Linked DNA regions of Nothobranchius furzeri. The protein of the gene in region 2 purifies or fractionates together with the protein of the main gene of each other region. This does not show direct contact. Links are inferred from orthologs where the notes say so. Each region holds a gene or a part of one and is shown on either strand. Other genes may lie near its edges. The genes, in order: sdf2l1, dnajb11 and sdf2.

Evidence for each region.
Region 1: the proteins of dnajb11 (region 2) and sdf2l1 purify together in Homo sapiens (affinity purification with mass spectrometry; 3 studies listed by BioGRID and IntAct, counting the BioPlex papers as one, with this or other methods). This does not show direct contact. The link is inferred for Nothobranchius furzeri from reciprocal best matches to the Homo sapiens genes DNAJB11 and SDF2L1.
Region 3: the proteins of dnajb11 (region 2) and sdf2 purify together in Homo sapiens (affinity purification with mass spectrometry; 3 studies listed by BioGRID and IntAct, counting the BioPlex papers as one, with this or other methods). This does not show direct contact. The link is inferred for Nothobranchius furzeri from reciprocal best matches to the Homo sapiens genes DNAJB11 and SDF2.

The regions. Positions count from the first base shown.
Region 1 is NC_091757.1:21,482,818-21,493,355, forward strand, and holds the start of sdf2l1 (stromal cell-derived factor 2-like protein 1), read right to left. Parts: upstream 6,749-10,538; 5' UTR 6,678-6,748; coding exon 6,482-6,677; intron 1-6,481.
Region 2 is NC_091754.1:36,587,511-36,597,963, forward strand, and holds the start of dnajb11 (dnaJ homolog subfamily B member 11), read right to left. Parts: upstream 5,162-10,453; 5' UTR 5,046-5,161; coding exon 4,972-5,045; intron 4,612-4,971; coding exon 4,455-4,611; intron 3,733-4,454; coding exon 3,635-3,732; intron 1-3,634. Other genes in the region: tbccd1 (TBCC domain-containing protein 1), read left to right, coding at 9,082-9,144, 9,234-9,500, 9,616-9,774, 9,894-10,010. UniProt on the Homo sapiens protein: As a co-chaperone for HSPA5 it is required for proper folding, trafficking or degradation of proteins.
Region 3 is NC_091750.1:60,578,704-60,589,225, forward strand, and holds sdf2 (stromal cell-derived factor 2), read left to right. Parts: upstream 1-3,763; 5' UTR 3,764-4,146; coding exon 4,147-4,330; intron 4,331-5,033; coding exon 5,034-5,230; intron 5,231-5,380; coding exon 5,381-5,680; 3' UTR 5,681-6,346; downstream 6,347-10,522. Other genes in the region: supt6h (transcription elongation factor SPT6), read right to left, coding at 328-495, 577-676.

The DNA.
Region 1 (10,538 bases), on a different chromosome or scaffold from region 2:
GAGACTATTTTCTATCAGAAGCTAAAGCAGGAGATAGGCGTAGGAGACTATTTTCTATCAGAAGCTAAAGCAGGAGATAGGCGTAGGAGACTATTTTCTATCAGAAGCTAAAGCAGGAGATAGGCGTAGGAGACTATTTTCTATCAGAAGCTAAAGCAGGAGATAGGCGTAGGAGACTATTTTCTATCAGAAGCTAAAGCAGGAGATAGGCGTAGTAGACTATTTTCTATCAGAAGCTAAAGCAGGAGATAGGCATAGGAGACTATTTTCTATCAGAAGCTAAAGCAGGAGATAGGCATAGGAGACTATTTTCTATCAGAAGCTAAAGCAGGAGATAGGCATAGGAGACTATTTTCTATCAGAATCTAAAGCAGGAGATAGGCGTAGGAGACTATTTTCTATCAGAAGCTAAAGCAGGAGATAGGCGTAGGAGACTATTTTCTATCAGAAGCTAAAGCAGGAGATAGGCGTAGGAGACTATCTTTTATCAGAAGCTAAAGCAGGAGATAGGCGTAGGAGACTATTTTCTATCAGAAGCTAAAGCAGGAGATAGGCGTAGGAGACTATCTTTTATCAGAAGCTAAAGCAGGAGATAGGCGTAGGAGACTATTTTCATGTTGAGCCTGCATGAAACACTAACTCGGTGATTGATTAGAATCAGAAATAAGATTTAAAAATGGCTTTTCTGTGAACCACACCTTTAATCATGTTTGCCTAACAGCCTGTTTCGAGTTCCTGTAAAAAGACAAGAAGGTTTAACTGACAGCTGGTCAGGTTGGCGGTGAAGATGGAGACACCTTCACGCTGGCCCACAGCGGTAGCAGCAGCTGCAGCTTTGGTCTTGATGACTAAATTATTCACAAATGAGGAGGTTTTAAACATGAGCTCTAACTGGATTCACATCTTTGTTGTATTTATCCTTCATTTGCAGCTAGGAGCCACTGATTCCACTGATGTTGCCCCTGATGTCAGCATTATCAATTATCTATCAGCTTTAGTCTGGGGTGGACCCATATGATCAACATGCTGTCCTCTTTATGAATAGGTTCAAATTAGGCCTGTAGCGACGCCTCGATGACGTCGAGGATTCGATTCTAAAAAACCGTTGACGTCAAATCCGGAAGTCGACGCACCATGTGACCAAACAGAGCAGCGCGGAGAACAAAACGCCGTTCATCTGATACTCAGCAGCAATGTCTCTGGTACCCCGGCGCCCTACCTCAAAGGTGTGGGAATATTTTAAACGGAGCACAAAACGTGAAAGTGCCGTTATTTGCAGTCTTTGCACCATGGAATTAGCTTATCACACCAGCACAACGTCCACGTGAGAGCATCTGAAGCGGAGGCATCCCGTTGTTACCCGTGACTCCCGCGAACAGAAGTAAGTAACATTATATCATATGTTTGCTAAATTGATTGCATGTTTGTGTAAGATGTGTGTGAGCTCTGCGCACTTCGGTAGGGCGTGTTTGGTTTGGCTAAACATAGCTTTATTTAGCTAACGTTAATTAGCGATAGCATATAATGCTGGCCCAAATGGCTAACTAGGTAATTGCTGCTAGGCAATGACAAAATCTATTGTTGTACAAAACATGACTTAACATTACAAAATTAGCCACACCAGCATTCTCAAATGACTTAATCATGGCATAGCACCGCAATCAGGCTAAGAGCAGATTTAAGACGCCATACTTTCATAGCTGTTGTTCTGATATGCTCCAAATATGTTCTGGTTTGCATTCTGCAAAGCCTATACTTGTGTGTAGCTTATATTGTTGACTTTATTTTTTATTTGGCAACAAGGGCGGCGGCAAAGTAATGACTTTACTGCAACAGGGAAACATGTTTCTAACTGTGGATTTGACAATAAACATTTTTAATCTTTGAATTGATTTTGTGTTTTCCAGAGCAAAGCAAAGAACCCTGTCGTCTTATCTCGGGCAAGAGATGCAATGCACACCTCAGAGGACAACCGGCTGAATAAAACGGTCTTGAAAGTAATAAATATTAGCTAACTGTTGCTTGCTTTCAGCATCTTTTAGGAGGAAACTGCTAACCATGTAAAAAAAATAAAAATTCACCCTCATTTAGATAAAAACATGACAAATAGGACAAAATAGGGTCCAGTGTCTATAATCTCCAGCGTTTGCTTTTGTTGGCTTCTATTTTCTTCATGTCCTTGTGTGATTTGTCTAGTAATCAAATGTTGAATGCTATGTTGTTTCTATATTTATATTTTCCTCATCTTACAGTTGATAAAGACATGAGGCCTTTGTCTCTTGTTGAGGGTGACGCCTTCATCGATATGGTCGAATACGCCTGTCCCGGCTTCAAATGGCCATCCAGGTGGTGGTTCACAAACCAGTTGGAAAAGACATACGAAGATACTCTGGAGAATTTAAAGAAGAACATAAAGAAGAGGTCCTCAAAAATCACGCTCACCACTGATGCCTGGACAAGCATTGCCACTGAGGCCTACCTTGGCGTGACCTGCCATTACATCGACGACAACTGGGAGACGGTCTCATTTGTCCCCTCGAAGAGCGACACACAGCAGACAACATCGCTCTCTGGATCGAAGAGGTTGCTGAGAAGTTTGATTTCTCTCTTCGCAATGATGTCCAGGCAATAGTCCACGACAACGCAGCTAATGATGTGAAAGCCCTACGGATCCTTGAGGAGAGGCATGGTGTATCTTCCCTTCGGTGTGCTGGCCATACAACACAGCCGATAGTCAACCAGGCTCTGAAACACCCCCAGCAGGGCACTTGGGGCAGCAAGGGAGCTTGTCAGCTACCTTCACAATAGCAGTTTTGCCCTCCTTAAACTAACGGCCAAACAAGAGCAGATGGGCACTCCTCAACACAAATTAATCCAGGATGTAGCTGTGCGATGGAATAGTTCCTTCTATGTGATTACGCGCCTCCTTGAGCAGCGCTGGCCTGTAACTGCAGCCCTTTCAGACCCAGAGGTCACTAAGGCATCAAAGCGTTACCTTGATATGAAAGCTGAACAGTGGAGCCTCTTGGAAGAATTACAGCAAGCACTTGAGCCATTTGAGCAAGCCACTGTCTTCCTTAATGGAGAGGCAAACGTCACAGGATCCGTCCTGCCGCCTCTGGTGAAAGGTCTACAGAAGTCCACAGAGAAAGCATTTGATTGTGCTCCCATTGCCACCTTCCAAACAACAGTCGCTGCAGAGATTGCTTCAAGGTCAGTGTAATTATTCTGCTCTTGAAATTAGGGCTGTCACGGTAACCGCAAAAATGAAATATCACAATATGACGAAGCCCACCGCGCTGCATCATGGGCCACCGCGATTACTGAACTTGGTTCAACTCAGTGATGCATGTTGAGAAGGACGGCTGCACTGGTATCAAAACGAAACGTTACTTCGCTCCTTTGGGAGCACTTTGGTTTTCAGTACGTCAGCTGCTGCGCAGCCAGAGTCCTTGGCCGAGACAGAGCTGCCACCAGCGGCAAAAAAATAATAATAAACGCTCGGAGACCTGCTGAAGTCCCGGACAAGCACTGCTTCTGCAACCGTCCCGAAGAGAGTTTGAGCCGAGCTGGAGCTCACTCGCTACCTGCAGGAGGAATGCATCCACCCTAAAGAACCCCCCTGACATGGTGGAGCAACAACCGGGAGAGATTCCCTTTGCTCGCCAGTCGCAGCAAGTACGTGTGCGTTAGTGCAACGAGCGCACCATCCGAGAGGGTTTTCAGTGTTGCTGCAAATGTTGCCCCCCCTCTCAGATCCTCTCTCAAACCGTATATGGTTAACATGCTGGTTTTCCTTGTGGGTAACAAGGACGTGACCGAGCTATAAAGCACCGTCATTCGTGTGTGTGAAAGTGAAATGATAGTGCGCGCACGCCCGGTACATGTCATTTTTTATGCTTGATTTTAAACAACTAAACAAAATGGGGACTTGTTTCTTATTTGTTAGATGCTGCAGCCAAATTTGCATTTAAAAGTTTAACCTCCTGAATTTTGTTGTTTTTAAGTTCAGTCGGACTCCGACTGTCAGAGGAACTAACGTTACTGCGATCTGTGTTGTTACTGCCCTTTGATCTGCATTCAGTAAAGTGTTATTAAAGAAGGCACGGCAATTTTTAACCTTTTTTAAATGTGTAAACATTATGTTTAGATAGTACTGCAATAAAAAAAGGGCTGCAATAATATCGCACACCGCAATATTAAGCCACCCTGAATCACCGCAGGAGGAATTCCTCAACCGCGACAGCCCTACTTGAAATCTAGTTTTAAACTAACTAAATGTATTTTAAATTAAGCTTTCCCAGTTTGCATCTTAATGTTTTCCTCATATATCATAGAGCTGTTGCTTCTACTAGTCTTTCCCTCCAAGCACTTTGAATTTATGTAAGTGTAAAAATCATAACCGTTATGTTTCAGATGGAAGAGTCAGACTTCATATGATGAAAATGAGAATAATGTGAGCATCTTCGCGGCAGCCCTTGATCCACGATTCCGAAAGCTGAAATTTCTTTCCACTGATGGATGTCCTGAAGGTAAAAATCAAACTTCAGAGCCTCGCACTTGAAGCCAGACCAGTTCTAGTGAAGGAAGAACCTAAAAAAGGATTTTGCAGTTGTTTTCCAAATTTGGGTTTCTGGGGGTTAAACAGTTTAATTTTGTGTTAAACACTCGGGGATGTTCATGCTGTGACCTGCCTGTTTTGCACTAAAACTAGAGTTAAACTAGAGTTATTGGAACTGTGTTCCAATAATAATACTGCTTTTATTTTGTTTTAAGCAAAAGATGTTTGACTTTGGAAAATCGTTGTGTAATAAAGTCATTTATACAATTTTGGGGGTATTTCTTTAACATATTTTGGTTTTAATCAATTGTACAGCAAAAAAAAAAAAAAAACAATCATAAGATTAATCATTTAATTAGTCATTAGAATAGTCGACTATTCGATAAAATAATCGCCAGAATAATCGTTTTGAAAATAATCGTTTACCTACAGCCTTAGTTCAAATAGCCATAAACTAGCTTACAGCTGCTAACATAGCGCATGTACACTGAAATACTTTATAGATGCGACTACACATCTGAAAGGGATGTTCCACCCTTAAGTGAAAATCTGTCCATTGTCGTATTCCCCAGAGTTAGAGAAGTGAGAAAAAGGACATTTAGTAACCAGTGCAGTGATTCTCCTGGTCTGCTTTAGCTTAGCATAAACAACGGAAGTGATTAGCAGGAACCAGCATTGTGTGTGCAAAAGTGATTCAAAGGACTCAATGATACCAGTTAGTCCTGGTGAGCTCAGTAATCATGTCGACTGCAAATGAAAATAAGAAGTAGCCCGATGGATTTGTAGGAGCCCATTTAGACCTGATTGTTCAGGTATGATAACTGTTCAGTTTCCTTGTTGTGAAATTCTGTTTTACATGTTGTTAATAAATTTGCTCCATTAGGAGCCAAATTAATTCCTCTGTATGATTTTCCCTTATTTTGAATGGATAAATATATGTTGGGTGGATTTTTCCCAAAAACCCTCAAAAACATTTAGATGGAAATACTTTCTAATAAAAGTTAAAAATGAGGGGAAAGAACCGAAGGTGAAAACCAGAGAAGTTCCCAACGGCACATACTGTTCCAGGAGAGGTCCGTCTGGAGTTCTGTCAACTAAAACCTCTCTAACTTCTCTATACTTCTTTTTTTTTCATGATTTTTGGGTCAGCAAATGTTCAGACCCTATTCTGTGGATTTCTAGATGTTTTAGGCTGCAACGAGGTATTTTAGAAGGAATTTTAGCATCATAAAGTGGATTTTTTTTAGGCGGAACAGATTTTTTTTTCTAATTTCTGCTGTGTTCCAGATCCTGCTGCTCTCCATCAGTGACATAAGTGATGCGTAATCTTTAGAGTCTTACCTTTATTTTGATACCAAAACAGCTCAAATAAACCTTGTCGTTTATGAGATATGCTCAGAAAATATCTGAAAAATGGTCTAGGGTTCAAGAGCTTAAATGTTTATTTATCTTTTTTTGTACCGCAGCAAGTTCCTAATGTTGTGATTCGCGCACACGTGGCTTGAAACCCTTCTGATTCACATTTTAATGACTATCTGACACCCTGACTTGTCAATTTGAGACATTTTAAAGCTTGATTTCCACGTCTGGGTCGAACTGAGAACTGAGCTTTAGATGATTGCACCTTAACTGCACGCATGCTGCTCTGGTGTATGGTGTTCTGTCAGAACGCCGGGGCATATGTAAATAAAACACAACCAGGACTAAACCCTGAGGAGTTCCACCAAGAGCAGAAGCACCACCACCAACTGGGACTGTTGCACTGAACCCCCCGAGTGAGAGGAGAGGATGACCCGTGCTGTGGCTCAGAGATCCGTCCTGATGGACTATCCCATCTACTGGAGGAGTCTGGTGGTTCACTAGCACACTAGGACCCGTCAGAGCTCACGCGGGCTTTAGTACAGGTGACGGTGGGCTTACCTGAGCCGTACTTGACATCGTGAGAGTGGAGGCGGACGTTGTGTCTGGTGTTGAGCAGCTTGACCAGGGAGCCGCAGGTCACAAAGTTGAGCTCCGACTCTCTCCCCTCGCAGCTGGAGCGCAGCAGCAGCAGCAGCAGCGACAGCAGCGGCGGCAGCGAGCGGACAACGCGACGGACGCAGGAAACGCTCTCCATCTTCAGCAGCTGCTTCTGCTAGCAGGTACAAGCGCTGGGAGAGTCCCGCAGACACGTCACTGGAGTGTGCGTCTGCACCAATCAGCGCGTGACAAGTCCCAAGCAAATGACTATCCGAACGTGATTGGCCAGGGTACTTCTGTGTTGTCATAACGCTGACGCGACACGTCCACTGGTCCGCCATATTGGAAGGGGAGACGCAGCCAAGAACGCAGTACAGGCATTGGTGTTGGTGGTCAGGTGTTTTCACCATTACACAGCCTGTCACCTGCGTGCGTGGTGGAGTGCTTTTCATCCACTAGACTAGCCTGGACCCCGTAGGCATGGCCATATATAGGTCTATTTTCTAATCCAGTGCCATTCACATTTGGTGCCCATTTTGATGCCAAGAAAGCACTTATTTTTGAACGTCACCAACAGTTATTTTAGGTTTGTTTGAAATAATAATTTGGTTGATGAACAAATGTTATATGAATACTAAATGAAATGTTTTGATTAATCTGTGAAATGTGTATATTATTACATTGAAAGATTTATATATGACGATCCGGAATGTTGGATTTAACAAGTGAATCATTGTCTACACTGCATATCTCCTCATGACGCAAGGTTAATGTAATTGCAGACACATAGATATTTTCTTACCCACAAATCAGAGCAACCCTATCCGAAGAAGGCGTGATGTCTGAGGTTTGGTGGTTAACATCTGGCCAAGCTCTGATTGGCCACACAAATCATAATATGAGAATATTAAAAACAGAATCACTTGCTGAGCGATTCAGCATTCCAGCTTTCCAATTCAGCATTCAAGCATTCAAGTTATGAGCATAACTTCGACTGGCCATCGGAGGGAAACTCTAACCATCCCATCTACAGCTGACACCGCAAATGGTTCCTTCAGCACCAAGGCGAGACAACTTCAACTCCTTAAGATTTATTCCTAAGACGCAAACAACTGTGTGACCCGGCGACATCTCAGGACTGGCTTGGTCGCCTCGCGATTATCCTATGAACCTCGAGGCACTGGGGTCACCAGACTCCCTCGGATCCAATCGGGGGTCTCCATAACAGGTGCGTGGGCTCACCAGATTGTGTCTGATGTGATTTTAGAAACCATCAATTAGTTTAGAGCAAACCAAATTCACTCCCTTCTCCAGATACGAAGGTTCTGATAACATCACATTCATACATCATCACACCTCACATCCCACCCACTCAGATTCATTCATCACCTAATATGTGTTTCCTAGTTGTCATGTTTTTAACTGTTTAGAAAATACATTCTTACGTTTTATAAACCTGACTCTCTTCTTGAATTAACACGAAGTGTGTTTGATCCCTGAAAAAGCAAAGAATCCAAGAATCTTCTGATTAAACATTCAAAGACCAAGCAGGTTGATATTCTATATTTATATACAATATTACATCTTCCTGGTCATAAGTGAAGGTAATATATTAAGCTTAAAAGCACAATATTTACCCCTCTACATATTATATGTACAACGTTACAAATCTAAACTTAAATCTAAATAATGATCATTTACACCTGCATGCTATTCACATCATCGTATCCTATTTGCAACTTCAGAATGGCGGGCCGCTCTGTTGGGACTTATGAAAAAATTGAGCTGACATATCTGGCGCTGTAGTCTGGTTCCTGCATGTTTCAGATAATGCACACCGCTTATTTGGTTCATTTAGTAATGAATCACTCTTGTAGACACTTATGAAGGCTGGGAGAGGTTTCAGCTGTTAGATTAAGGTGTTAAAAATACGAACGCACAACGAAGACATACGTTTGACCCTAACCCACCGAGAATTAATAACGGACACTTAGGGGGTGCTAAAAGCAAGCAAAACTGCCAAGTGTGCCTTTAAATGCATCTAAATGTTAAATCTAAATACTTATTAGAGTTCCTGCTCTTCATGCCTGTTACCCTAGTAATAAAAAATAATGAACAATTTGTACAAAAACAATAGGGTTCCCTGCTCTTTAATCGGGATAATAAACAAGTTACGTTTGCGCTGGAAGGATGTCTGCGGCAGCGCAGATTTAGCCCCACTCCCCTTTATACGTCTTATCCTTTGTGAAAAACACATTATCGTAACACATTTGGCCACTTATGAACGACGAAAGGCGCCCTGAAGCCGACTCAGCTATGTAGGAAAATGGCTTGATTGAATTTTGAATCAGGCTTGTGCAACACAGCTGTTAGATGGTAAGCTTAGCTTGGTTTATAGCAACTTTATAGTGTATGAACCCTTCCACTTATATAGGCTAACCAAGTGAAAAACCACCTGCAACTTATCGTCATTGCTGCTGGGCACAATGCAGGGGGAAGCGCGCTCTGAAGAGTAGCTTGGACACCTGCCATGACGGCATGTTCAATTGTTCCTGCCTAGAGCGAGTTATGCAAGTCTCTCTTCAGTTTTAACTGGTCATTACAGCCTATTACCAGATCCTAGCAGAGAAATAATTGACAATCTCCTGTTCCTGGAAAGCCTTCAGCCATCCTTCGATGACTGAAAACCACCATCAGCTCTGTCTCCTGTCTGCCTACAATTATTATAATAAATATTGTGTTTGACAGGTTCTTTGTGCTGCCAAAATGTCTCTTTTTAAGTCCAGTTTTTATATTTTAATGGATATTTATAAATTATCATCCATCCATTTTCATCCGCTTATCCGGAGTCGGGTCGCGGGGGCAGTAGCCTAAGGCGAGAGCAGACTTCCTTCTCCCCAGCCACTTGGGCCAGCTCCTCCGGGGGGATCCCGAGGTGTTCCCTGGCCAGGTGAGAGACATAGTCCCTCCACCGTGTCCTGGGTCTACCTTTAGGTCTCCTCCCGGTTGGACGTGCCCAGAAAACCTCACCAGGGAGGCGTCCAGGAGGCATCCTGACCAGATGCCTGAGCCACCTCAACTGGCTCCTCTCGATGTGGAGGAGCAGCAGGTCTACTCCGAGCCCCTCCCGGATGACCGAGCTTCTCACCCTATCTCTAAGGGAGAGCCCAGCCACTCTTCAGAGAAGACTCATTTCGGCTGCTTGTATCCGCGATCTCGTTCTTTCGGTCACTACCCAAAGCTCATGACCATAGGTGAGGGTAGGAACGTAGATCGACCGGTAAATCGAGAGCCTCGCCTTCTGACTCAGCTCTCTCTTCACCACGACAGACCGGTACAACGCCCGCATCACTGCAGATGCAGCACCAATCCGCCTATCGATCTCACGCTCCAGTTTTCTCTCACTCGTGAACAAGACGCCATGGGGCGATGGTGGCACAGGAGTTAAGTGCTCGCCCCGTAATCGGAAGGTTGCTGTTCCAAACCCCGCTCAGTCTGTCGCTGTCGTTGTGTCCTTGGGCAAGACACTTAACCCACGTTGCCTGCTGGTGGTGGTCGGAGGGACCAGTGGCGCCAGTGCTCGGCAGTCTCGCCTCTGTCAGTGCGCCCCAGGGCAGCTGTGGCTACATCGTAGCTCATCCCCACCAGTGTGTGAATGTGTGTGTGAATGGGTGAATGACTGATTGTGTTGTAAAGCGCCTTGGGGGGTTCCAGGACTCTAGAAGGCGCTATATCAAATACAGACCATTTACCATTTACCAAGACCTCGAGATACTTAAACTTCTCCACTTGGGGCAGGACCTCAACCCCGACTCGGAGAAGGCATTCTACTTTTTCCCGAATCAATCATTTTTAAATGATCACTTTGTTGCATGTTTAACTAGCTCTAATGTGATGAATTAAACTGGCACCTCACTGTTAAAGGCTCATTTTAAATTCAACAGTGTGTTTGTATATTTATGGACATGAACAAAAAACAGGAAATATATTATTTATTTATTGTTTTATTCACTTCAGA
Region 2 (10,453 bases):
GAGGAGCAATACCAGTGAGTAAATACAGAGGACAGGTAGTCCACACAACAGCTACCATCTGTGGTGACTGTGTTCCACTACGCTTCTGTGTTTGGAGGAAAACTATCCTAAACACAGTTTTGTGACCTTTTGGCTCTTTTGTAGATTTGTAATTCAACAAATTTGTGTAGAATTTGGTCTGTTCTGCTCAAATAATGAAAGTTAACTTTCCAAAAGCCTTGTCCTAATATCAACAATGGTGTTTAGAGTCAGGAAATCTGCATATTGAGGGGAAAGTGTACATTTAAAAAGTACTAAGATGTTTCAAGTAGTTTATTTTTCTTGGAAAAGGAAACATTTGTAGATGAGTTCTGATGCAGCAAATAAGATACACCCAACTGTGTGCAAGATCGGTTTCTGCTGCTAGAGAACACACATCCTTGGGATTTGCAGACATTAAAATATTTAATCCTTTTTTTTAAATCCAGTATGTTGTGTCATGTGGATTGTAGCCTATACTGCCACCTACTGAACAAATACACTAGCATCCTCACCAGACAGGGCTTCCTTCAAATATAAACCATGCACAGGTACACATGTTCCACCAGTCAGTAAATGCACTGGACAAGAGCCCTGGTGGGCCCAGAGTGGGCCCCTACCACAAAAACTGGAGCTTAAAGAGCAAGTCACCCCCAAACAAACTTTTTTTTGCTGATAAACTAAATAAACGAGTGTCTAATCGTGCTGCAGACACGTGTCGTCAATAATTTGACACTTCAGTGCATCTTAGTTAAAATTTAAATATTCTGTCTAAAACTGTCAGTGTTGTGCCGTTGTCAGGTAAAAACTCTGCACTGTATTTTAATTTAAATCTGCCATCGCTATTGGCTAAGAGGTATGCTATGATGTAAACTGGTACATTATGATGTCACAATGCTGTCGTGAGCCTGTGTGTGTGTGTATTTGTTAGCGGCTCCGCCCTCTCGGTCTGCTAGGCAACAGCATGTGTTGCATTTTTCAAACAGGAAGTGGGAGTTGAGTAAGAATCTGGTAGGGGGTGACTTGCTCTTTAAGGACAATATTGGGCCAAGACGCAAATGTCCCGTTTTTAGCTAAATCTAGTAATAAAGCTACATATCAGTGGTTTTTCTTTGTCTGCTGATGTTCTGTTGCATTGTTTGTGGAAACAAAAGATGATCATTTCAAATCTGCAACAAAAAAAATGCATAGCATTTATAAATACCCTCCACAAACCCTACCACACCCAGATTGATCTGAGTATTCACATTAGTATTTGGTAAACGTATGCCTAAGGGCGGTGCGCGGGTGTGAGGGCCTAAAGCGTAACATGCACCCGGGCCCAGCTTGACCATGCTATGGCACTGGGCCATACCTTGGTCTACCCATACTGTAGTTTTCATCAACACAAGGGATCAGGCTCTCCAACCCTGGTGCTTCCTGTCCAAAATTTGATTTGATTTGCTGCTCCAACAAACCCGATTCAGCTGTTGAATTACCTGTTCAACAGGTCATCCAGCTCTCTGGGAGCCTGTTAACCACCTGCTGACTAAAGTCAGGTGCGTTGAAGCAGAGAAACCTCTAAAATATGCTAGAAGTGGATCACAGTTGGGATCCCTAAAGCAGAAATCCAGAATTTTTTTCTCAGAGGCACCATCTAGAGGCAAAAAAAGTATTGCACATAAAACCCCTCCACCTACTCCCATGATTACAGCTACAAGCAACTCTTATTCATGAATGGGCACCTGTAGCCGGTTAATAGAGCTAAGACAGTGTTTTACATTTATTATTTAAGTGGTGGTGGGTTTTATAGATACACATATATCAGGGTTTCCCCCAGGCTTTGCTTACCAACCCGCCAGGCTAAGCGTCATGCCCCACACCCCTCCCCGACCCTACCGTGTCCGCTGACACGAACGGCGCAACGAAACTTGAGCCCTCCATCAGCTGATACTGGTGAGAACGCAAGATAACATATAGTCAACAAAACTGTTCCTGTTTCAAGGCCTTAAGCGTTCTCTTATCGCTTCTACAGGATTCCTCTTGCCTCCGAATAAAAGTGAACATTTTCAGCTCATATGAGTTACGGTAACTAATCATATAATGAAATTGACCATATGGTTAAATGAAATGTTTTGATTAATCTGTGCTTAGAATTAATAAGAATGAAATTAAATATATGACCCAAATATTTAACCAGCGTACGTGACTTGACAAGCACACACTCATGCACATGGTTAATCTCATGACACGCTGCTTTCTGATCCACAAATCAGAGCTCCTGTATCTGAGGGAGGTGTGCATCGGAGGTTGGTTGGTAAAACCCCTTTACATGTCAAATTCTGGTTGGCCATGTAATCATAATATGGAAATTGTTAAAACAGAATCACTTGCTGAGTGATTCAGTTAGTTTTTGAGCCGAACTCCGGACTGGCCACCGGAGGAAAACTCCCTAACCACCGCATCTCTTGACAAGCTGTCAAACCTGTTGCACGCTGCAGCGACACAGAACCTTGCTCCTTCGGAACAAAGCTGACACAGCCAAGACTCCTTCAGAGTCCATCGTTCCATAGACGCAAACAACTACCTGTTGTGATCAGGGAGACGACTCTGGACCGACCTGGTCGTACTGCGGTTTTTTTCTACGAACTTCGTAATCTTTTCTTGTTCGGGTGTTTGGCTTTGAACGCAGGGACCTCCAGCTGCGCTACCTTTGGCGGTCACGGTTCTGAACTTATCCAGTCGAATATGCTTGAGGTACCGATGTCTCCCATCTGGAGCTGCTTCATCGGATTGCTACCTGCATGGATGGGCGGCCTATACTCCCATCAGGTTTGGTCTGAAGTATGCCTTCAACATTTTTACTAAAATTCTAATAATTTAATGAGAAATGAGAGAAAGGGTTAGGTGAAGTCACTAAGGGAAGGCCGATGCACATCAGGTGTCTTTGATCAAGAGTTAAAAAGACAACTTCCCTTCTGAACATGGGTGTTGTGGGTGCCCTCCTATGTGTCCTCTGATCCTGAGTGGTTTTAAAACCAGGCAGTGCCAGGATTTTCTAAAGAACACCTGGTTTTGGGGATTAGCTTGCTTTCTGGCACAGCGCCCTGATCTGTATGTCCCAGATGACAGAGAATCCCCCAAAACAAAAGCATCTTGTCCAGTTTCCAGGTAAAATGTAAGCTTTAGAACATGCTGGGCTTGTCTTTCAGGAGTGCTGGGTTTCCTACATGAACCCTCAGGTGTTGGAAATGTATCTGAAGATATGTTTTCAATGAAGATCTACTTCTAGAGTTCTCTCAATACAGACACAAGTCACTGTGACCATTAATCTAAATATTATAAATAATGCTTGTTAGTATTTGTCTGCCTTTTCAGGTCTGTGTTGAGAGGGTAGCAGCTCCAGGATGTCTGTCCTCCAACACCGTAGCCAGTGGGACCCCAAGGTGTTCCCTGGGCAGCCTGGCGATGTGATCTCTCCAGGTAGTTCTGGGTTTACGCAGATTATCGTTTTATTTGTACAGAAAATAATCTTCATTTTAAACAGTTTGCTGCTTGTAAGTTACCAAGGTCAGTTCTTGTATCTTTATTGTTCTACCAAACAAGATAACAACAAGACACCCAAACCAACACTAACCTGGAGAAGATGTCATTGTGAGAGCTATGGTGGCCTTCCTTGAGTCCGTCTTCTCCATACATATCATACTGTTTCCTCTTTTCTTCATCTGAGAGGACCTACACACACACACACACACACACACACACACACACACACACACACACACACACACACACACACACACACACACACACACACACACACACACACACACACACTTTCTTCATACAACGTGTGGGGCATTTATTGGTAATCTTTCAAAGTTCCCTAGTGTTCAGTCACCACTGTCACACTTAGAGTTTAAAACATTTTGTGTATTAAATTAAACAATTTAAGAAAAAACTGAAAAATGGTCACCGTTATTAAGATGACAGATGAAATAATTAGGACAAACCCGTTATAGATTCATTTCCCAGGCTGCAAAGATATTACTGAATTGGGATTTTTACACTCATAAATCAGAACACGTCTGAAAGCTAAAAAAGGTGAAAACAGTCAATTTGGAAATAAAACCTTGCGCCGGAAACACCTGCAAAACCCTTTCAGAACGCCACCCCCACTTTTCCACGTATGCCTTTCCGCCATGCTCCAGCCAATCAGAAGCAGCCACACGGTCCAGTCGACCAATCACCGAGCTCGTAGCGTTTCCAACAACAACCAAGTAGCAAAGCTTACAAAAGTCTCACAATGGAGCCCACCGGCACTTCTGGGGATCCAGTGTAAGATCTCCAATATCCCTGTTATTGTGTGACTATGACATGTTTACAGCCGAGACGGGCTCGCTGCGCCCCTCTTGTCATGTCACTGACATCAGACATTACAACCGACTCTGGCCCACCTCATAAGCTGCTCCTAAATCCGCAAATTTGTCCTGAGCTTTGGGGTCGTCCTGGTTCCTGTCGGGGTGCAGCTGCAGAGCCAGCTTCCTGTAGGCCTTCTTAATGTCTCTTATTGATGCCGTCTTGCTCACCCCCAAAATCTTATAGAAATCTCGACTAGATCAGATGGAGAGAAAAAAAAACATAGCAGCATGTTCAGTATCACAGACATGTAGACATTATAAACAAAGCTGCTAGTTTAAGAGTTTGTCCCGACTGACAGCAGCTAGCTACACACCGGGAGAAGCCGGTTCGGTCTCACTCCTGTTAGCCTACAGCTAACTAATCAAACTAGCTTAAAAGAGGCCAGTTAGAGTCATACGGGTTGGTAATGGCGAATATATCGCTTTGATGGTAAACGACTAAATGCCGCTTAAGTAGTTAGTTGAGAGCGTCAGTCAGCTCCACACATGGAGGACGGTTAGACCAATCACAGAGGAACATGTGTACCAGCTGCTCATCGCAGCTCTCACTTACCCGGCGAGCACCGCCGTGGCGACATAAAGAAGCAAGCAGCACACGTTACACAGGTTCATGCCCTTTTTAGCCATATATCCGGAGGTTAGTGAAGGACCAGATAGAGAAGACGCAACCCGGCTTTCGTAGAAACCCACTGCCAGTCACTAACCCTCTTCTTCCTGTCAGAGAGAGCCCTCCTACGGCGAGAGGGCGGGCCTCCTCTCCGGCAACTCCGCCCCGCCTTAAAGGCGCACCGCCCGCCCGGTGTCGGTCCAGGATCAATAATGCCTGGCCATCAATAAAGTTATTCTCTAAATCATCCGGACTTTCACTCAACCTACATAAATGTGAACTGCTACCAGTTAAAAATTGTTCTGCAACTTCAATCCATGGAATACCTGTAAAAAAAACTCTGTAAGATACCTTGGAATTCAAATAATAAAAAATGAGCAATCCAGATGCTCCAAGAACTTTACTCCTATTATAGACAAAACCCAAAAGATCTTTAATTGTTGGCTACAGCGAGACCTATCAAAAGGAAGAGTTCTGATTTCAAAAGCTGTGGGTATCTCCCGTCTAACCTATGCTGCACAGTCACTACACGTTGATAATACAACTTGTAAATCAATTAGCAAATTGTTATACAATTTCTTATGGAAAAATAAAACCCACTACTTACGTAAATCAGTAGCTTTAAATCCATATGATAAAGGAGGTTTAAGCTTTATTGATTTCGGTGCTCTTAACGACACCTTTAAAATAAACTGGATTTAAAAGTATTCAAAAAATCCCACTTCTATCTGGAATTTTATCTCACATCATGTGTTTTCTAATTCAGGTGGTCTTAACTTCCTACTGCTCTGCAGTTACAGTATTCCAAAAATACCACTAAAACTTTCTCACTTCCATCAACAAATTCTTTTGGCGTGGGCACTGATTTACAAACACAACTCCTCCCCGCAAAACTGTTTTATTTGGAATAACTGCAATATTATTTATAAAAATAAAACAATTTTTTAAATAACTGGTTTAATAATGGAACCATCTTGGTTAGCCAGTTATTTGATGAAAAGGGGCTCTTATACAATTACTCTGAATTCCTTAGGAAATACAATATACCAATAACGCCCAGAGAATTCTCAATAGTGTTTGATGCCATCCCATCCGGTCTGTCCATGTTGTTCAGATGCTCCCACAGCGCTCCACTATCAGTCAGTCGCCCGGATGTGTTACATTCTTCTCTTGGCAGTGTTTGTTTTTCCTCTCGTTGGTGAATAACAAAATAAGAACTCTCTTTCAGGATACAATGACTTCTGTTCCATCGACCATATCTTATTGGGCTAATTTTGTAACAGATATTGAATGGAAAAAAGTTTGGACCTTACCACAAAAATTTCTTTTAACAGTCAAAGTTAAAGAGATTACATTTAAATTGATTCATAAGTTTTATCCTACCAAACAATATTTGTCAAAATTCATAGCTGATATAAATGTAAATTGTACCTCTTGTCAAGAGCAACCTGAAACAGCTACTCACTTGTTATGGTCGAGTAAATTTACAAGTAAATTCTGGAAGGACTTCCGCAAGTTTATTAATGACTCTGTTCTCCCTAACTTTCAACTATACTACAAAGATGTTATCTTTGGTCTTCATAATTTTAAAAACAAGGACAATGATGCTTTCTTCTTTGTTAATATGTTTTTATTTTTGGCAAAATTTCACATACAAAAAAAGCAAAGTCCTTGGCAGAAAACCTGAACTTCTTGTATTAAAAATGAAACTTGAACAATAAGGACGATCTCCTTATCAAAAAACACCAAAGCTCTCAAGTCTGTTAACATTTGTAACCATCTGAAACTGCTCGATTGACTTAACCTCTTCCAAACCTTTCTTTTTTTATTTTTATTTTTCCTTTTTCCTCCATGTCTTCATCATTTCCATCGTTCTTCATTGTAATACTATAATTCATTGTAATACTACAATGGTATGCTTTATGTGATCCCTGTCTTACAATTGTCTGTTCAAAATGTGGTAATTAAAGTTAAAAAAAAGGATCAATAATACCGGGGTCCTGCTGATGACGTCACATTACTGCAAATCTACTCAGCTTTCACACATACGCTTTGGAAAGACATCAGAAGTTTTGCAACACCTAAATGTTTTCTTTATAATTGTAATTTGTTAATAAAACACCATATTATCTTTGTTTTGTAAAAAATGTGAAACTAGGTAAAACCAACATCGGACTGACAAAATATAGAACAGTTCTTATATGTGAAGCCATATCTGTTTGTATTAATGTGGAGTTCATCTGTATATTTCCTTAGTTGTTATCTAAATACATTCTTTGACTCCTGAACCGTCTACAGATGGTTCAGAATGCCTGTGCTCGGCTTCTGACCAAGTCCTCCAAACACACCCGCATCACCCCGCTTCTCCTCCAGCTTCACTGGCTGCCAGTCAACTTCAGGATTCATTTCAAGATCCTGGTTCTGGTCTATAGGGCCTTAAATGGACAAGCACCATCATACATTGGTGATCTTCTTAGTCCCTACACCCCCAGCAGGTCCCTGAGGTCCAGTGACCAAAGCCTACTGGTTGTGCAGCACCAGGCTAAAGACCAAAGGTGACAGGTCATTTGCTGCTGTGGCCCCCAGGCTCTGGAACTCTCTCCCCCTGAGCCTGAGATCAGTGGACTCAGTGGTCTCCTTTAAAAAGCAGCAGAACACTCACTTGTTCAAGCTGGCTTTTGTATGCCCTTCTTCACCACTCTCTCTTTATTCTGCTCTCCCCACCTATTCCACCTTCCTCAGGATCCACTGATTTCCCTCTTTCCTGTTCACTCTCTCTCTTTCATAACATTTTTTAATCACAATTGCCTATTTTTGCTCATTTTAAATAAAATTTTCAACATTTTCAAAATGCTTTTTTATATTTTTACATTTTTTTGTTTTTGTGAAGCGCCTCGTGATTTTTATCTTGAGAGGCGCTATAGAAATGATACTTTCTTCTTCTTCAAAATATTGCTTGGTGTCTTTCAATAAAGTTCTTATATTTTATTTTACCTCATTTCATCAACATCAAGAGCTTTTGAGGGTCACCATTTATCATTTGCTTATATTTTACATTTCATTTAGAAATTCAAACGTATTTTCTCCAAAAAGTGTTGATTTTGGACTACAGGACCACAACCGCTAACTACGACCGCAAATTTGTTCTGACCAATCAAAATCATAACGTGATAACGTAACTTCCGTAAACTTCATGTTTAGCCAATCAACTACTTTGACGTCATCGACAATCGAAGGACCCCGAGTCGATCCTGCACCCGAGCAGGTCCTGTACCGACAGCGGTCCTTCCTACCCGTACAGCATCAGTTCTTTTAATGTATCTCCCGGTTTGGTTAACTCCGGGTCTTAAGTTTAATATAACTACAGCGTTTGTCGCTCGTCGTTGTCCGCTTGACGGCCCACCGAGCTCCCTGGGCGAGGGCCGGAGACTGGCGGTAGGAGCCCAGCTGTTAACCAGCGGTAGCCACGGTAACTAGCACCGAACTTCAGGCAAGTGCTTGAACAAGTGGCCGCTGTCGTTGCGCCATTAAAAGTAAGTTTAGGTTGTTTACACAGAATAGACGCAGCAGGGAGAGCTTGTTTGGCTAGTTAGCTTGTGTCTGAAGTGATGTGTTGCTATGTACAAAAGCCAAGATTATAGTAAACAAACTCTCATACAGGAATTAGATATAACACACGATCAAGCCGTTCACCGCTGATGTCTATGTAGGTGATGAGAACAAACAGAAAGTCCATTTGTTTCCTTTTTAGCAGACGTGGCTCAAAAACATAAGTTAACAAACTTGGACCAAAATAAACTGAAATAAGATCATTTTAAAGACATTAATCATTTACTGATTTTTATTTCTTCTTTAAATCTGACTGTCTTGAGTTGCTGTGATTCAGATCTGGTGCCAGAGTACAGACTTCATTTGGATAAAATCAGATTTATGAGGAGGTTACATGTTGCTCTGATTTTTGAGCGTGTGCGCTTTGTGGAACTACTTGCACTGAAACAACATAGTTTGCAGACATTGCGCATTGAGTGACGCTGTGCCACTGCTCTCTCATCAGACATGGAGGCAGGCCGAGTGGCCATATGGCCACGTATGGAGCCTTTCCTACTGGGTGCCCTGCAGGTGAACACATTCTTGCTGCTGTGATGTTGTAATATATTGCCCAGCTGATGTTAATGTTTTGAAACTAACTAGAGCCACTGACTCAATAGGTGGCGCCTTCCTCCAAACTCGGCCTTCCCTACCTTCGTAAAATGGCGATCTACGTGCAAACGCGGGATGGCTGCTTCCCTGTTCTGAGCTGGCCCAGGTGGAAACGCATTGCCTGTGGAAAGCTGCTGCTTCCAGAAGATGTGGCTTGGCTCTACTTTGAGACCTTTGACCTTTTAGTGGATCACCGTCCACAACAGAGGCTAGAGTGGGCTGAGCGTCTATCCCAGTGCTCCTCCAAAAGCGAGCTGGACCATGCAAGGAACATGGTGTAGTATAGTTAAACGATACTTCTGTCTGTTTGATAGTATTTGTTTGTTAGCTCCTCTCATATTTAAAAGGGAACATTGTGTTGATTTGGAGGCTTTGTGTTTTTGTCTTAAGTTGTCGGTGGACACGCTGCAGTTCCTCCTCTTCCTCTACATCCAGCAGCTGAACCGCATGTCTCTGCGCACATCTCTGATTGGTGAAGAGTGGCCCAGCCATCGTGCTCGTTCCCCTTCCCCATCAGAACGAGAGGCCAAAATCAGTTATCAGAACAGGGTGCTGTGTACTGTTCCTGCAAGCAGTATTTGTGAGATCTCATTGAAAACAAAGATCACGCTCAGTTGTTGTCTGACGTTCCACATTGTCTGTGTTTGTTCCTGTTCTTCGATCAGCAGAACTGGGACGACCAAGCCCATCTGTCATTCATGCAAAGTCACCTGGCTGAGATTTTGGAGCTGTTAGCGGAACCTGGTCAACTTTCACCGTCAGGGCAGGCCCAGAGAGACAGCCAGGTCGGTTCTTACTGAGTGCCCTAGCGGTGTGTAGGGAACCTTACGCGAACAGTACTAAAGGAGTTCTGAGCAGTCCTGATGAGGGTATCTAGAATCTAGTTATGTAAACTGGAGGCAACTTTCCTTTGGATGACATCTGTGTGACATTCATTGTGCCACGGTTAATTAATTAGAAAAATAAAATCATTTTTCGGGTTGGGCATCGATTGGAACCGGTTCCAACTGTTCATTTTTCCCTGATTCGTCCAAAGTTTTTTATTTCAATTCCTAGTTTCGATTCCTAGAATGCCAACGGAAGAGGAATCCGCGGCCGATCTCCATGAAAAATAAACGTGATCTGCAAATTGTGATCAACGCTTTTCAGAGCTGATCCCACCAGCTGTCTGTGCAGCACCGAGTCCCCCCCCCCCCCCCCTCCGCCCATCCGGATATAAACAAACGCG
Region 3 (10,522 bases), on a different chromosome or scaffold from region 2:
CTTTCCTCACATCTTTAGCTTTTCTCATTTTTATGATTTTTTTTAAATTTTTGTTCCTGAGTTAAGTTTTTATTTATCACAAGTAATATCGTCCTCGCAATATTAATCATTGTTATCGAATATTGCACGTTTTCCTAATACTGTGCAGCCCTATTTTACACTAATGATTTGTAATCACACGTAACTCTTCTCATTAATTCGACAGAAATAGGTAATCCTAAGCGTTAGCTAAAATAAAAAAGTGTGTTAGAACAGAAAGTTCGGAGGATATTGTATGTTTTAAGCCATCAAATTCTAAAACTGGATATCTGATAACTCCTAACTTACTGCGCTTTTTACGCCGATGCCTGACTTCCTCTTCGGAATCACTTCCAGCTGGACTTGCACTTTTTTCTGCTTCCTCTTCTTCTGCATCATCATCTCCATCGTCAATCAGTCCACGTAAATTTCCATGCTCATCCTGCTCCTCTGGATTATCCACATCTTCTTCTTCATCTGTTGTAAAGTGGCAGCATTCAACATGCCATCTAACACCAAAGGTCAATCACACTGATAAAAAAAAAACTCTGATTTTACCATCTTCCTCTAGGAACCTCTGAGTCTTCTTGGGCTTAAGGTCCTTCTCTTCGAACTCCTCCTCCGACTCCTCAGCTTCACTGTCAATAAAATCTGACATGACAGCTGCTCCTTGGAAATTGAATAAGAAATAAGAATTGGTTAGAATAATTTGTTGATAAAATTACAAAGTTAAGTTTTCTCTAATTTATCATAAATGTATTTACAGAAAGAAACAAAAACTCAAATCATGGTTAGAAATGTTTGCACAGAGAAGCACCTGAGTTAGCTTTAACTTCTCAAAAACCTATTAGATACTACACATACATATTAAGCCTACACTTTTATCATTCAAATAAATTATTATTGTATTAGACCTAAACTGTTTGTTACACTAAGACCATCTGATAAACCACATCAGCTGTTGTACATTATTTACCTGATTATCTTCAAGTAAAACGTAGCACATGTTTTATAATGTAATTTGTAACAATTCAGTTTTTTCCTCACAAGTAACTATCAGTAATACTATAAATCCGTGTTTGTGGACAATACGTTGGAATTTTCCTATCTCCAAAGTAAGTGCGTAACCACAGAGACAGCAATCTTGTGTCGCAATGCGTACTTACAGCATTGAATAATGTCAAGAACAGCTAAGTAGCTAAACATAAAAGTTACAGACGTGGTTTACGTTAATGATCGCCGTTAGCCGATGTCAATATAACTGCAGATTTCGAAAGAAACTATGACTAGAGTAACACCTTTTGTGTGCCATAACCGTTAAGGATGCTAACTACGCTAGCAATGTAAGCAAGCTAGCTGATAAACGTACCGACAACTAAACATTTAATCTATTTTATGTTATTGATATTAAAATGTCTGTAAACAAAATTTACAGATAACAATGAAAGTATGGCTTTACCACGCCCACAGTTAGCGAAAATAAACCGAGGCCTCTTAACCTAACACTTATATTAGCTTGGTAGGCTTAAGCTGTGCGTTAGTAAGAACAAGCAGCTAAACCTAACGAAAAGCACAACGTGTAACTCAACCCTCCAAAATTACCACGGTAAATTCAAACTTACACGTCTCCGTGCAGTTGTATAATCCAAATATACTTATAAATGTCAAATATTTGTGTTGTGTTTTGTATTTTTGAGCTTGCACTACAAAAAGATGGCCGAGAAGACCAGTGTGGAAATTCTAATTCTTCCTCGTGAGTTGAAAACGCTGTGGGGTCCGTTTCCACCACCTAGTGGAATGTTTGGTGTATGGCAGAATGTGATCTAAATAAAGGAAAATACGGTAATGTGATCAAAATAAACAGTGTTGGGCAAGTTACTTCAAAACTGTAATGCATTATTTATTACTTGTTACCCTCATTTTAAAGTAATTAATTACATTACAATATTACTGATTTAAAAATGTAAGGCATTACACTACTTTTAGGCATTACACTACTTTTGCATTACTTGAAGTAACTTTCACCAAAACAACTTCAATATGAATCTGGTAATCTGACGCTCAGTGAGCTCATGACATATATGTGGAAAGTGATGTGGTGTTTGAGCTAGGATTGCTGTTAAAAACAGTCAGATATAATAACAGTGCTTTAAAATGATTGTTTATTAAATGAAAGCAACAATCTCAGCACGCTGCCATCTTATATTAACTGAGCAGGGAGTAAGGTGGTGGGGGCTCCAAGCTATTTGCCTTGGTCCCCAAATGCCTTGATACGGCCCTGGATGTGGGACTGACTTCTGGGGTGATTCGATTCTATCACTAGTATAAATATTAAAATGCTTATGTATATTATTGCTTTTCACTGGTAAAAATGTGTATTGGGGATAAATCTACCTACTTTTTTCCTTTTCAAGCACATTGTTTTGTTTTCTTGATTTTATGTGAATAACTTCCTGCCCTTTCTCTCTCTAACCTTCCTGCATGTTGCATGTTTTCTCTGTCTTCCAGAAAAACTGTTTCCTAGATTTCCTACTTTCTAACTAATCAGCCAAAGGGATCTACCAAACGCAAATAAATAAATAAATAAATAAATAAATAAATAAATAAATAAATAAATAAATAAATAAATATAAATAAAAAAGCTTCATATGCGCTGCGCTCCAGCAGCAATGAGTTGAAATCACCGGGGCACAGATTATGAACTCAGCTGAAAATTACATGAAGTACCAGAGAATATGGGCTGATATAAACGATCGCAAACGAATTACTTTGTTTTGGTGGAGCGGTTTTGTGAATATAACAGCGGCCGCGCGCAGGACGCAGCTGGTTGAGCCATTACCGCCGCGTCCTCTCTGCTCATAGAATGCCCGCAAAGCTGAGTCCATAAATGACATAATATATGTAGATACTGGATCTTTTTTCAGGCTTCCCGCAATTTGAATTTTTAGGAAACCCACATCTTGATTCTGGGTTTAAAAATGCATTGTAATTACCGCGTTACTGACAATTGTACCGAGTAAATAGTACCATTTTCTTTCCCTGTAATACCTTACAGCAAAAAGCAATGCATTACATTATAGTTAATTACTTTTGTACCGCGTTACTCCCAACACTGAAAATAAAGTACAATAAAATACAATAAACAAAGCCACCTTCTGAGGTTTAGATTTTAAAAAGAGTTGTTTAGATAGATAGAGTAGATAGATAGATAGATAGATAGATAGATAGATAGATAGATAGATAGATAGATAGATAGATAGATAGATAGATGAGATAGATAGATGATAGATAGATAGATAGATAGATAGATAGATAGATGATAGATAGATAGATAGATGATAGATAGATAGATAGATAGATAGATAGATAGATAGATAGATAGATAGATAGATAGATAGATAGATAGATAGATAGATAGATAGATAGATAGAGAGATGATAGATAGATAGATAGATAGATAGATAGATAGATAGATAGATAGATAGATAGATAGATAGATAGATAGATGATAGATAGATAGATAGATAGATAGATAGATAGATAGATAGATGATAGATAGATAGATAGATAGATAGATAGATAGATAGATAGATAGATAGATAGATAGATAGATAGATAGATAGATAGATAGATAGATAGATAGATAGATAGATAGATAGATAGATAGAGAGATAGATAGATAGAGAGATAGAGAGATAGATAGAAAGATAGATAGGTAGATAGATAGGCTGATTGACTGATTGATTGATTGATTGATTGATTGATGAGGTGCTCAGAAGTCTCAGAATGATATAATGCTAAAATGGGACTCATCAGTGAATATAAACAAATGACCAATTATGCCTGTAATTTCAAAATACATAAATAAATCATACAAAATAATGATTTGAAAGGAGATGTGCAGTGAACTATAATTTCTCTTTTAATTTTACTACTTTTCCTCCAACAACAGGGAAATCATCTTCTAAGCCAAAGATAAACAAATGTCAGAACGACGTTACCTCTCCAATCCACACGGGGCGCTGTTTCAATGTCATTACATTGGTACGTTACTACTGACGTAGCGAAAACTGATACAAAGCCTAGGGAGGTATTGTCAGTGGCATTGGAGTTAGAGTTGTAGTCGGAATGGCTAACTTAAACTTAGATATTTTTGACCATTTTCTACCAGCGTTTTTACTAATTTTATTCTGTATATTTGGGCTTTCTGCTGGGACGGAACTGAGCTTTGTAACATGCGGTTCAGTCATTAAACTATTGAACACAAGGCACAACGTAAGACTGCACTCTCACGATGTTCGCTACGGATCCGGTGAGTTATGGTTCGTTTGACATTTCACTTCAAAATATGATGTTTGCAAGGTACAGCTTCCTCACGGTCACGTTAGCTGGTGTTTGTAGCTACAAAAGATCGGGTTGTCTATTGTAGATGCAACGGTAAATGTCAGTCTGACACTGTCGGTCAGGTCGTCGTAGATTCAGGCTGATCTGGTTTGACTGTTACTTATTTAATATGAATCAGGAATTAATTGAGCGTGTCTTTAACCATTAATCTTTAACCTTTAACCTTTTAAATTAATTGTAAAAAACGGTCTAAGATGCGTGTCTTTAACCATTAATCTTTAACCTTTAACCTTTTAAATTAATTGTAAAAAACGGTCTAAGATGTTCACTGCAAGTTTTCTGTACTGACGATTAATTTCAGTACATTTCACCTGACTTCCAGCCTTTCAATCATTTGTGAATTTCTCTAGTAAAAAAAATAAGAATACTTCAGGACCATCCGCCTTACTTTATTTTACTGCTAAAAAGTGTAAATGTAAATATTATAATAAGATGCTATTACGATTAGAGTAGTTTCCATTTAATGTTAAATAACTCAGAAAATGTCACTTTTCATTTATCAATCAAATTTACTTTTTCGGCCCAATAACATCGTTCATCGTGTGTGTGCGTGTGTGTGTGTGTGTGTGTGTGTGTGTGTGTGTGTGTGTGTGTGTGTGTGTGTGTGACAGGTAGCGGCCAGCAGTCTGTAACAGGTGTCTCTGTGGTGGAGGACAGTAACAGTTACTGGAGCATCCGTGGGACCAGAGACAGTTCGTGTCATCGGGGGTCACCAGTGACGTGCGGACAGACGATTCGCCTCACTCATGTCAACACCGGCCGCAATCTACACAGCCATTACTTTTCCTCTCCGTTGTCTTCTAACCAGGTGGGTGTATGAGGAGGTAGATGATGAAAGAACCGATTTTGGTGTCATGAGGATTTTTCATCCCTTTGGAGATTTTGAAACTCGTGTACACTTGGGTCGCATGAGACCGTGTCATCTTAAACAATTAGTTCTTTCTCTCTGTGTCTGCAGGAGGTGAGCGCGTTCGGTGAGGAAGGAGAAGGAGACCACCTGGACGAGTGGACGGTTGAGTGTGGAGGATCTGTGTGGAGGCGCGAGGAGGCCGTTCGCTTCCGTCACAAAGCCACCGACATGCTCCTGTCTGTGACGGGGGAGCAGTACGGACGGCCGATCCACGGTCAGACGGAGGTTCATGCCATGCAGAGTGCCAGTCAGCACAGCCTGTGGAAAGCCATGGAGGGCATTTTCATTAAGCCCAGTGAGAGCCCGGCAGGCAGCCGAGACTACGGCCACGCCCACACGGAGTTCTGAACTTCACCTTTCTGTTTTTGCGTCGGTCTGTTGTCCGGTCTGTCCATATCCACCATAAAATCTGAACCAGCACCTTCTTTCCCCTAAAAATGTCTCATCTTTATATTCACAGGAGATGTATCATCAAAGATGCAGCAACTGCTCTGAGATTGTATTAAAATCCTCTTTATTTAGGTCTGTGGCACTAAAAAAACAAGTAAACCGGGTTCTTTACCACAGATCAGAAAGCAGATAAACACACTCACCAAGTGAATTCTGTCTAAGATATCCTGTTACACCTGTGCCTATAAAAACCTGTAAAAAGTTATGGGTGTTTACATCACTAAGCTTTTGTAAACAGGGTTTTTTACTATCATTTTGCTCTTTTTAAAATTATATTTTTAAGCCATATTAAACAAAGAGTTCAGCAGTATTAAAATTATATTTTCTTTGTTTCCATGTTGCATCTAAGTTATTCTGCACTGATTTCCATAAAAGAACAAGCAGCAGTGTTGTGTCTGTGAATTAGAGGATCCCCTAACTGGATGCCGTTTATTAACCGTGTTTGGTGGTTTATTGTTTAGTCTGTGCAGTTTTACACTCAAATTGTTTTGTGAGAGCAAATGTGCTCCAAAGTTTCACACAAGCATAAAACTCCTCACATTAAAGAGTGTTTTCATGCATAAACACCACTGTGACTTTTTTATTTGATGTCAATCCATTTAAGTCCAACTTTATTAACAAACAACCAGCATAGGACCAAAGCACTTTGAGCTAATCCTTGAGAAATAAGTTAGCTGCATTTATACAGCATGAAATAAACAAGCCTCAAATAAAAACAGTCGAGCAGTTAGAAATTGCCACATGAATCTGATAATTAATGAAGGACTTGCAAATAAGGCAAGTAGTTAATGTCTTTTTGGACCATTGGTCTTGCCTAATGCCTTGTTTGCCCATTTAATGACGTCTCTTGGTTCATTATCTGACAGTTAATGGGGTTTCAATGTGATGAGGCTACTCTAACTCGTATTTGACCTGTAACGATTAATTCTGAGCACTGCAGGAGTAGACGAGTGTTTTATGTGTGTTTGCTACACTCGTTCACCTGTGGAGACTTTCAGATGCTTCTGTAGATTAGTTCATGTGTGTTATGAGAAAGACTTAATCTTGAGGAAGTACTTGGTGATACAAATAAGGAAAAAGTACTTTATTGGAAGAAATTTGGTAGAATCAGAAATCGGACTTGGCAGAAATCCTCTTTGGTTTTATCTCCAAATAGATTTAAGGAGTAAAAACCGTGGAGGCAGCGTGATGAAGTCTATTTAGAAAATTAGATTTTCTTGCCTTTTTAGTGGAGTCAGTAGCTGCAATTTTTTTACAACACAGAGACAGGAAACAGACTGAAAAGTAAACATGAGATAAACAGCCCCTGTGTGCAAAATCGTTAGGTAATTTAAAAAAGGAGTCACTATGTGTTGTAAAAGGTTCTTGTGGGTTTTAGTGTGAGTTTTTAGGTTTCTACAGTTTTTGTTGGAGATTTAAGTCACATTTCCTTTTTAAGAGTTAGGTTAAGTTATTTTGGATGCCCATGTGCGCACCTTCTACTGGCTGAGGCAGAGGTCTGCAGCTGTGGCTCTGGAGCCACAAGAGGCTTTCTGAATCCTCCACAACGATTCTTAAAGTGACAATGTGCATTTTTATATTTAATCTCTGGAAATATCCATTGAAATGTTATTGAAAATTAATAAAATGTTGTCCAGTTGTAGAAAAATATTTGCGGCTTTGTAGGACTCAATAACTCGAAAATGTTTCGTTATTGAAATTTCTGACTCGCATCGAGATAATTTTTCCCATGTCAACTTAATAATGAAAAAATGAAAAGATGTGTAGGTTGGCAATGTTCATGTCCCTTTAAGAAGCTGTACCACCTTGAGTCACATGTGTAGCTCGCGGGTGACGATGGATGAAGCTATCGCGTTAGCGTTCATACTCGTTTAATTTTTTATTTTAATTCTGGTGCCTGTTAGCAACCGAAACACATCCTCACGTGCTTGTGGATATAATATAATGCATATGGAGACATGACTGTAATAATAAGTAAAGGTTATCAGCGGTAGATTTAATTTGCTCATAGGAAACGTGGCAAAAGAAAACAAAACACATTTCTCTTTATGGCCTGTATAGTTGTCATCATCAACATAACATGATTTACAGAATACATGTTACCAACTAACATTTCATGTTCTATCATCAGATGTTTGGATCATAACATGGACGTAATTTTCAGTTTAAAAGTGGGGGGGACACGGGGGGGGGGGGGGTATCTTTACAGTATGTTCTAATGGGAAACAGGCATCAACACAAACGGTTGTTTTCCGCTTGGTCCTAGAGCTCAACCAGTGTCAATTTAATATAGCATACTATTGTTTTTGGATGGTAAAAAGTGCAGGGGTCAAAACTTGACTTTGGAAAAAGTGGGGGGGACATGTCCCCCCTGTCCCCCCAAAAAAATTACGTCCATGGATCATAATATGAACCAATCAGATCTTAGATCACGTGAGAGCCAGGCGTTTCCTGTCATACCCTAGGTTTTGCAGCCGGTGGAGAGCAACTGCAGTGCCTTGCTCCGAAATCTGTGGCCACCTTGATCTCACTATATCGTTGTGTATACATGATGTCAGAGCAAGTCGGCGTCAAGTCAGACACAAATCTAACCGGCATGCACTGTGCACCAATCACCGGTGATCTAATCTGTGCAAACCTGGCTCATCTGGAACACAGCCAATGTAACTCGATGTAATACATGTGACAGCCCCATCTAGTGGACAACTTTTGTTTCTACACATACCTGTAGTTATCGTCCATTTATCGTTATCGAGGTGAAATCCTCAGTGTATCGTGATGTTGATTTTAGGCCATATTGCCCAGCCCTACGGCTTCGTAACGTATTACCATAAAAATTGGGTCTGAAGTACATAGGGTGCGGGTCTAGCAACTTTGGGGGATGGCAAATTAGTTGCCATGTTTCCTTCTGGCCGGCTCAGTGTCCTGTGCCTGTTGATGACATCACACTAGATGACTGGCTGGATATACGACTTAATGGAAGTTATGTTAGCACGTTCGAAAATATTTAATTAGGAAGAAACATGAACCACCATGCACAACAAAACTGCGAAACTCTTTCCAAAACCTACGTGAAAGAACAGAATCGAAAAAGAGATGCAATTTATTTTGGCCGAGCGGTATTGCCGTAGTATGATGATGTCATCGGCAGGTGTAGGACCCCGAGCAGATCCGGAAACTACAGCGCCAAAAAACTAGCATTGACATTGCACACTTTCAATGGAACTAACTGAAGGACCACCAAAGCCCGAGGAGTCACGCTGAGGTTGCACGCTTTCTGCTCCACAGGTAACAACATTTACCGTAATGCTTTGTAACATCACGAAATGGCCTGATTTTGAGATCCCACAGGTCATGTGCACAGCCAGGTCAACTTACCCTGGCTATCAAACATCCTACGTATATTTTCCTCTGACAGGAGTCTGATAGTCTACACGTAAGCCCTTTAATCAGAGCCTACTTCCTCACACCAGCTGGACTGCAGAGATAATGAAGAAATAAACAATACCAATTTTATCCTCCAAGGTCCATCACAGGAACTCTCTCAAATAAACTCCATTATTCCCACATGAAGAAGAAAAGAATATTTTATAATTAAAAAAGAATCATTGAATGAACTTTTGTTATTGCTACTGATAGTAATTGTAAATAATGAAATGTTCATTAATCTGTGCTCAGTGATTGTTTTAGTATGTTTACTTGACGAGATCATAACATTTGCACTCAGAGTAAAGTTAATGCATGACACATAAGTAACCTTTTGCCCACATTCAGAGTGTCACAAACGTGCCGGTGAGCAAAGCGGAGATGAGGTGAGGATCCACACGCGGGTGAGGAAGGCAGGCATACAGGTAGGAACGGTTTTACAATAGTTTTAATATCAAGCACGCAGGACATAGAAACAATGAACCAACCAGACAAAATGGACAAACAGGGTTTAAATACAGGAGGAGCTGGGACCTTGGTTGATTGGGAGACGAGAGAGAGACTGGTGGGAGCAATTAACATGAACACAGGACTGAACCGAATGGGGAGACAGGACAGGGTGTGACAGTAACCCCCCCCCCCCCCTAAAAGGGCATATCCCAGACCCCAGCAGGAACATAGAGCAGGGCGGGAGGAGGGGGACCAGGAGGGAGGGCCAAGAGGGACTGAGGGACCGACGGAGAGGAGGCAGGGACCAGTAGAGTCCGGGGGCCTGCGCCTGGGGCAGAGGAGGCGACGACGGGCTCTTGGGGGCCTACATCTGTGGCAGAGGAGGAGGCAACGACGGGCTCTTGGAGGCCTGCGTCTGTGGCAGAGGAGGAGGCAACGACGGGCTCTTGGAGGCCTGCGTCTGTGGCAGAGGAGGAGGCGACGACGGGCTCTTGGGGGCCCGCGCCTGGTGAGGGCAGGACTGGCGGTGACCGGAGGCAGAGACGCTGGAGGACACGTCTTTGACTTCTGGACTGGAGACGGCGGAGACATTGGACTGGAGGGGACGTTGACCTCTGGACTGGAGGGGACATCAACCTCTGGACTGGAGGGAATGCCGACCTCTGGACTGGAGGAAACGTTGACCTCTGGACTGGAGGGAACGTCGACCTCTGGACTGGAGGGAGCGCCGACCTCTGGACACGAAGGAGCGTCGACCTCTGGGCACGAGTTAACGTCGACCTCTGGACACGAGGGAGCATCAACCTCTGGACACGAGGGAGCATCGACCTCTGGACATGAGGGAGCGTCGACCTCTGGACACGA